Daphnia pulex: one gene and its partner. The protein of the gene in region 2 binds, or shares a complex with, the protein of the main gene of each other region. Links are inferred from orthologs where the notes say so. Each region holds a gene or a part of one and is shown on either strand. Other genes may lie near its edges. The genes, in order: N-alpha-acetyltransferase 38, NatC auxiliary subunit-like; N-alpha-acetyltransferase 35, NatC auxiliary subunit-like.

What was found.
Region 1: N-alpha-acetyltransferase 35, NatC auxiliary subunit-like (region 2) and N-alpha-acetyltransferase 38, NatC auxiliary subunit-like share a complex: the UniProt entries of both Drosophila melanogaster proteins name them as parts of the N-terminal acetyltransferase C (NatC) complex. The link is inferred for Daphnia pulex from reciprocal best matches to the Drosophila melanogaster genes Naa35 and Sbat.

The regions. Positions count from the first base shown.
Region 1 is NC_060019.1:7,926,611-7,929,376, reverse strand, and holds N-alpha-acetyltransferase 38, NatC auxiliary subunit-like, read right to left. Parts: upstream 1,166-2,766; 5' UTR 1,130-1,165; coding exon 1,046-1,129; intron 974-1,045; coding exon 817-973; intron 756-816; coding exon 643-755; 3' UTR 557-642; downstream 1-556. Other genes in the region: RNA polymerase-associated protein Rtf1-like, read left to right, coding at 1-309, 372-475; type IV pilus biogenesis and competence protein PilQ-like, read left to right, coding at 2,146-2,163, 2,327-2,382, 2,453-2,766. UniProt on the Drosophila melanogaster protein: Auxiliary component of the N-terminal acetyltransferase C (NatC) complex which catalyzes acetylation of N-terminal methionine residues. May have an accessory function in the survival motor neuron (SMN) complex.
Region 2 is NC_060021.1:6,739,509-6,743,817, forward strand, and holds the start of N-alpha-acetyltransferase 35, NatC auxiliary subunit-like, read left to right. Parts: upstream 1-1,468; 5' UTR 1,469-1,586; coding exon 1,587-1,656; intron 1,657-1,720; coding exon 1,721-1,918; intron 1,919-1,980; coding exon 1,981-2,158; intron 2,159-2,215; coding exon 2,216-2,393; intron 2,394-2,456; coding exon 2,457-2,652; intron 2,653-2,721; coding exon 2,722-2,906; intron 2,907-2,969; coding exon 2,970-3,320; intron 3,321-3,387; coding exon 3,388-3,566; intron 3,567-3,897; coding exon 3,898-4,153; intron 4,154-4,309. Other genes in the region: phosphotriesterase-related protein-like, read right to left, coding at 1-127, 197-414, 477-641, 703-1,212, 1,285-1,336. UniProt on the Drosophila melanogaster protein: Auxillary component of the N-terminal acetyltransferase C (NatC) complex which catalyzes acetylation of N-terminal methionine residues.

The DNA of each region.
Region 1 (2,766 bases), on a different chromosome or scaffold from region 2:
AGAGAGCAGAAGAAGCCATTCTTGAGGAGATTCGAGCCAGTGGAGGACAGAAAACCGAAGATCCGTTCACACGGAGAAGCACTAGGCCCGGAAAGTCAGGAGGTTACCGTCCTAATGCCGATGGAATTCCGCCTGGACCCGACCCTCTTGCCCCAGTAATTAAAACTGAAAGTCAGTCGGCAACTGCCAATAATGAAGGCAGAACTGATTCGAAAGACAAAGCTAAACTGGTTGCAAAGCCAAAAACTAGTGATCTATTTTCTGCACACGATTTTGATATAAAAATAGATTTAGAAGTCCCTCTTCAATGTAAGTTAACTAAAATAATCAAGAATTCAGTTGACATTTTAATTTTCTATTTTTGATTACAGCTCAACCAGTTGCTGTCACTCCAAAACCTGTGGCAAACCTGAAAGAAGCCCCTCGTCGTTCCCTCAACTTAGAAGATTATAAGAAAAAGCGTGGATTAATTTGAACTAGGAGCTCCCTTTACTCACATTGACTTAAAAGCATAAAAGACTAATAAATTAAAATCTTAACAGTCAGGATGAAGCAATTGAACTGACAAACAAATCAACTTTGTATTCCTCTGATAGTGTTAAGCATGTATACACATTAAGCCAATACACAACCTGGCTGATGTCATGTAATATATGGAGAGTTGTGTACCATCAGATCATCAACTGAGATTGAAACAATATACTTCCCTGGCACCATTGCCAATCCTAATACACGTGGCTCTTCAGCAGCATTATCTGTTTGTGTTAACTGTTTCTAGTCACTGCAATCATAATGTTAAGTCAAAACTTGTTTTACCATCTGGAGGAGGGTACTCATAACAGGATCCAAGAATTATGTTGCAGTCTCTGTCTGTGCACAAAAACTGCCCAATCAAGGTGCGACCGTCTTCAATCTCTATTTTCATAACAGCGTTGAGCCAAGATTCCAGTTTCAACCTTCCGGGAGATTTAACCTTTTGCAAAATAAATGAAATTGGTGTTGTGATGAGCATTTAAGACTAAGAAAGAATAACTTCTGAACGTACTTTCATAGTAAGTTCCTTTTCTTTTGATGACTCCTTCGAAATATCAACCATTTCAATGTTTTCGAGCTTTGACAGACCGTCCATTTTCCCTCATTTCCACGCATTTAGGGTATCGCAACAGAGATGGCGTTTAAGTAGCGCGAATTTTAAACGAAATTAAAAAAAAAACATTTTACAAGTTTTTTGACATCTTATATCAGGAGTATAAATAAGGGAAACCGGTTGTGTATAGGATAAATTAATAAAATCCTTAGGGTCCTTTGTATTATAATAAAAAGGAATTTTTTGACTTTTTTATTTAATGTAATATGAATAAATCGACTTGGTAGCAATTGTCCCTCATCATTGCGTCTAGGTGATAAGCAAATTTCAGATGATAGTGCCCATGAATTATGATGGAGCTTAACGTGCTAAACAGCTTAAGTGGCTGTCAGAGGTGCAATCGTTAATCCCTACACTGTTTTTGTGTGATGTTACCGCACAACTAGTACTTTGTTTTATTACTCAACAAGTTCCTTCGAAATCAAGGATCAAGCAATGTTTGAGACGAAACAATATTTTCTGTACTTAACTATGAAAAAAAATACAGTCAGCCAGTCACGATTGTAAAAAATTAAATTTCCCATTTCATACGAAAGAAATCAACATAGCAACAGCCAAGACCTTACCTGTTTTTAATTTTATGACCCTTTTAGATTTTCCGACCTTGCTTTAAAAAAAAAAGAAACACGAAAAGGGATTGGCAGAAGATTGTTGATAGGCCACTGTGAAAAACATGTTTGTCTGAACGAAGAAGAGCGGAAGGGGCTTTAAAGTAATTTTAAAAAATAGGTCGAAGGGGACGCGATTGTTAACCTTGGTTTGGTTGTGACCAGCACAATGCGATGTGGGAAAGCAGGTGAACAATTTCACCTTTGAACTAGGTCAGTTTTCATATTTGACTTTCCCTCCTCCGCATAGTAACCGTTAATTCAATTCCAGCTGATTTGTCCGTCTACCTGGAACTGGACTATTTAAAGGCCTGCGATTTCTTTGGAAGACACTCACTTCACCTTTGCAAGTTCTCCAGTCAACAGCACTCCAATTCCTACTACTTCATCATGAATACCTTCAAAACTGTAAGTATTAAAACTTTTAAAATTTCCTTTTATTTAAATGTTATTTCCATGTTTCTCTAAATTTAAGTCGAGTTTTTTTTTTTTTTAATCTTTTATTTTTGACATTACGAGTCGCTTGAAATACTTCATTTATTTACAAAAATGTTTTGTCTTAATTATTTAGGTCGTTATGATCTGCGCCATGTTGGCTGCTTCCTGCTCCGGCCAATACTTGTCTCAGTGAGTTTGAACTTTAATTCCATTTTATACTTGGAGAGTCTTGCGTCATTCAATGTTATTTATGTTATAGATCTTCCAGCCAAGGACCTCAATCCGGAAGCGGAATGATGGGCAGCCAATTGCCGTCGTACGTCGCCCAAGCCCAGCAGAGCAGCCCGGCCCTGGAGCAGCAAAGACCGGCCTTTACCGCTGAACAATCCCGACCAGTGTCCAGCGGCAGCTCTTCTCTCCTTGGCGGAGGCGCATCTGCTCCGGCCACTACCCAGCAGATCTGCTCTTGCATCACCATCAACCCCGCAGCAGCAGCAGCATCATCCGCCCAGCAATCCGCCCCTGCCTCATCGGTTGACTCCACTGCCCAGCAGACATTCTCTGCCCCTGCCC
Region 2 (4,309 bases):
AAGTTAGCCAACGGAATGGATTTTCAACCAAAATTTTTTCTAAAGAGGAATTGTCTATGCCTCTCTGAAGAATCCTTGGTACAATATTCTCCAATATGTGACTATATCCATGGCCTCCAAATTTAACCTGTAAAATATGGGAAATTGTGAACGTTAATAAATTAAAACTAAAAAAAAGCTATTAAGCTCATAAAACCAGTCGATGTTTTGTGTGGATATCATGAGATATCAGAAGTTTATCTCCGTAGCCTTCAACAATCAGCTGATAAAGGCGATTTATTCGTTGCGCATCGCTAGGCATGTCAATCTGGCCGTTCAGTTGATAGTGTGAGCACTCGACACCAAACAGATCAAACTCCAAGTATGAACCCATGGCAGCGAAATCAAATACATGTTCGTCCTGAATCAAAGTTCCTATAATAAAATGTGTTTAGAATAAGATAATATTGTGAGAAAATAACTTGAAAAAATGTTACTGTCTAAATGACATAGAGACACTTGATCCGCCTTCCCTCCCGCCTCTAGAAAATGTCTGAGAACTTGAGCAGGCGACGCTGGATTCCGTCCCGGATGAATGGAAACTGGGCACTTGAGTTCATTTTGAACTATAGCGGCGGCTTCTAAAACGCGCTTTTCAAAATCTAATAACAAGTAATTATTATTTCAAATCGTTTCTCTTTAATAGTAATTTGTAGTTCGTACTGTGAATGGGATAAGAGCATCCGATTTCTCCGATTAGCCCGCATCTTATCGCGGGTGCTTCTAGGCATCCTTCGGTCTGTTCTGTTCGCATTACTTCAGCCAGTTTCTCGATGGGCTCAACAAAAAGCTTGGAATCCTGTGAAGCTGCTACATAGTATCCAGTTCCAGCTATGATGTTGATTCCAGTAAGAAGACTCACATCATAGAGAAACTGTGCCTTTCGAGAAATTCCATGAGTAGTACATTCTACAATTGAGCCCCCACCAACTGAATGATAGTGCTTCATTTCAGCAATAATGGCTTGCTCACACTCAGTGCCATTCAGATGGAGGTTTGGTTGATGGCTGTATGGGTTATAACGGATCCAGCCCAAAGTTTCCATGGAAAATGGCAATGTAGATTTATGAACATCAGTTTCAATAGGTTTAACAAAAGCAACATCAAAATTCATTGATAAATGCTCATGAACCATTGTTTTTCCTAGAGCTGAAGGAGGTATAACTCCTGTGACTGTTTAAATACAGCAAACATTCACCATTTATGTATAATTAGCTATCTTAAATTTGTTAAGTGTTCACCAACCTGTTTGAACTTTTCCAGAAAGTGATAAATTATTTATAGGAATAACCTCCATTTCATTTATGCGTAGAGAAAATCTGAAACACCAATAATAGTGATACACTGATACGATTCAATAGAGCTAAATTCTTTTTGACGTTTAAACTAATGTAAACATTGCAAACAATAGGTATGTTATGTTTGTCACGGTCGCTAGGTGGCTACCAACGATCAGCTGGTCCGCGGAATCGACAGGACCTTTTTGAGGAAGTTATTTTGTTGGTATTTTTTGTTCTTTTAATTCCTTCGGGATTTTAGAATTTAAAATGGCCCGTCCTCCTGAAGTTGTATATTCTTGGACAGATATAACCAGTGATTTCAAAGCTTCAGTCAAAGGTAAATTGTGTACCACAACTTTGCCCATGTTGATCAGTCGTAAACCCTCACATGCTCTCTCTAGACTTGGAATTGGGAGAATTAGCCCATGATGACTTGTTTGGTTTGTTTGAAGCCATGTCTGCAATTGAGATGATGGACCCCAAAATGGATGCTGGAATGCATCAGACTACCAATGGCACCAAAAAAATTCTCAGCTTTGATCAAGCTGTGAAAGCCGAGAAACTGGAACTGAAAAAAGTCAATCCCGAACAGTTTATAGGTACACAGACAATAATAATTTTTTTTTTAAATTATCTTTTGTTACCATAATTTTGTAAATAGGCATTGTTGATAACAGTATAGCCTGCCTAGTCACATGGCTTGAAGGTCACTCATTAGCTCAAACAGTGTTTATTAATCTCTATGCACAACATCCTCAAAAGATTGAAGACCGAAATTTGAAGGCCTTCATAACCATTTTTCTCAAAGTAGTTGATCTCATCAAAGACTACATCAACCAGTGAGTGTCATCTTAGTGAATGAAAATTTTGTAGTAACAAAGGATTTTTCTATTTAGAGCATCAGTGTTTGAAGAGGAAGACTTTCAGCCTTTGGTTTATGGATTCAAACTAGCATCTGATGTTCCAGAAGCAAAAGCTTTAGCCTTAATCAAAGAAAGTGAAGAAGATTTGATGAAAGAAATTAAAAATTTTTCACCCTCAAGTTCATCAATTGAGGAATCCCAGGAAATGAAGGTACTCAGCCATTTATTATCAGTTTCAGATTATTATTGCAAATTTACCATTTCTATTATGTAGGAGATTAGCGCAGTCCATACCCGATTACGTTTCTTTCGGCATTTCTATCAACTGTTATTGAAATTTAATCGTCGAGAATCACCTAATGCAACTGTTAATGCCAACTCATTAATTGAAGACATCCTAAAATCTACCCATGTTTGTCGCGAAGCCTTAAACTCATGTTTACAGACGATCTCTCTAGGCTCAGGATACGGTAATTATATTATATAAACTTACTTCGTCGTTTTCCCTTGGAATCCAATTTGTTACTTCTTTTGAACAGGAGCCGACGAAATTGAAATTATGGGATTTGAGCCTCAAGTTAACCAACGGCTCTTACCACCCACATTTCCACGATATACCCAACTGCGTTCTCGAACTGATGCCATCAACAATTTAATCCAGTTAATGGACCGCTTGAAAGCAATGTGTAAAATCAAAGATCACACGAATTTCCATTCTGCTTTGGTAAATTATCTTTTAGACATTCTTTTCAAAAGGGAGTTTCCAACACAGTTATTCTTTGTTTAGGATTTTTTCTATAACATCGGCCGACAGCGGCCACCACCTTGCGTGTTGTCCCGGTCATTGTTACAGCTTCTCTATATCCCGCTATGCAACCGAGTATTTGGTCAGCAACCCCTGACAGAAGTTCTTCAAGAAGCAGCCCGGATATTCATCGCACCACCTGCATTGACTGGCGGCTTGGGTTTGGTTGCTGGTACTCAGCAGCACAATCAGGTTCAAGAGTGTATCGACCAGCTGTTCCAACAATGTGTTCGACCGATGGGCTCCTTGGTTCAAATTGCTGGCCATAATTTAGCTCGCCAACGGGATAAATTCGGACATATTTTGCAAGATCTAGCTGCTCTCCAGGAAGAAGTAATATTGCACTTTTCAACTTAAATGGGCTTTACCCAATAATTAATTGTGTTCCCCCTCTTGCAAGGCTGACAAAGTGGATGCATATCTGCATACAATCTCCCTGCAGACGGACAGCGGGCGTTCTCACTTGGCCTGCCTCGGTACTTGGGTCCTTTTGCACACGCTACGGACAATGATTCAGTATTTGTTCTCTGGATTCGAGCTCTCTCTGTACAGCGTCTACGAGTATCATTACATCTTTTGGTACGTATCGATCATAGTAGTAATCGGCCAAAGGGAAACTTCATTAGCGGCTCCGTGAGAGCTTGAGATTGATTTTTCCCGTTTATGGATGAGTTGTTAATTTATGTGTGTGGCTCATGCTGATAGTTTCGCTTTGGGGGGTTTTCCTTTCTTCATTTACACAACTTTTGTACAAAGTAGGAGGAGGATTATAAAGAAAGAGAGGCCAAACTAACGGTTTCCACACACACACCGCGGTTGAGTGCCCCCTGTCTAGTCATAAATATGGGATGAATGTTTCCGATGTTCCGGTCGAATCGTTTATTTTGGTTTTTTCGTATTCGTGTGCTAGGTATCTCTACGAATTTCTCTACGGATGGCTGATATCGGCTTACAACCGAGCCGATTCTTTTTTGACGGAGCATCAGTCGATGGCCGAATATCTGAAGAGCAAAGGCAAGGCGGCTAACGCTACCAACAAGAAAGGAGGTCAGAGTGGCAACGGCAAGAACAAGAAGAAGAAGGAACGTAGCGCTACCGCTCGACCCTACGCCAAGGAAATTGCCTATTGCCAAGCCGTCCAGTCTATGTGTGGGGGCTATTATAAGGTAAAGATGGCCAACTCACGGTCCATCGTCCCCGTTTCTTCCTTTTTGCCCAGCATTGTAAATCTACCCGCATGCCTTATAAGGAATGACATAACTCTTGCACTTATCCCTAAAGCTGCGGATGCTCCTTTTTTCTCCATCAAATAAAAAAGAAAA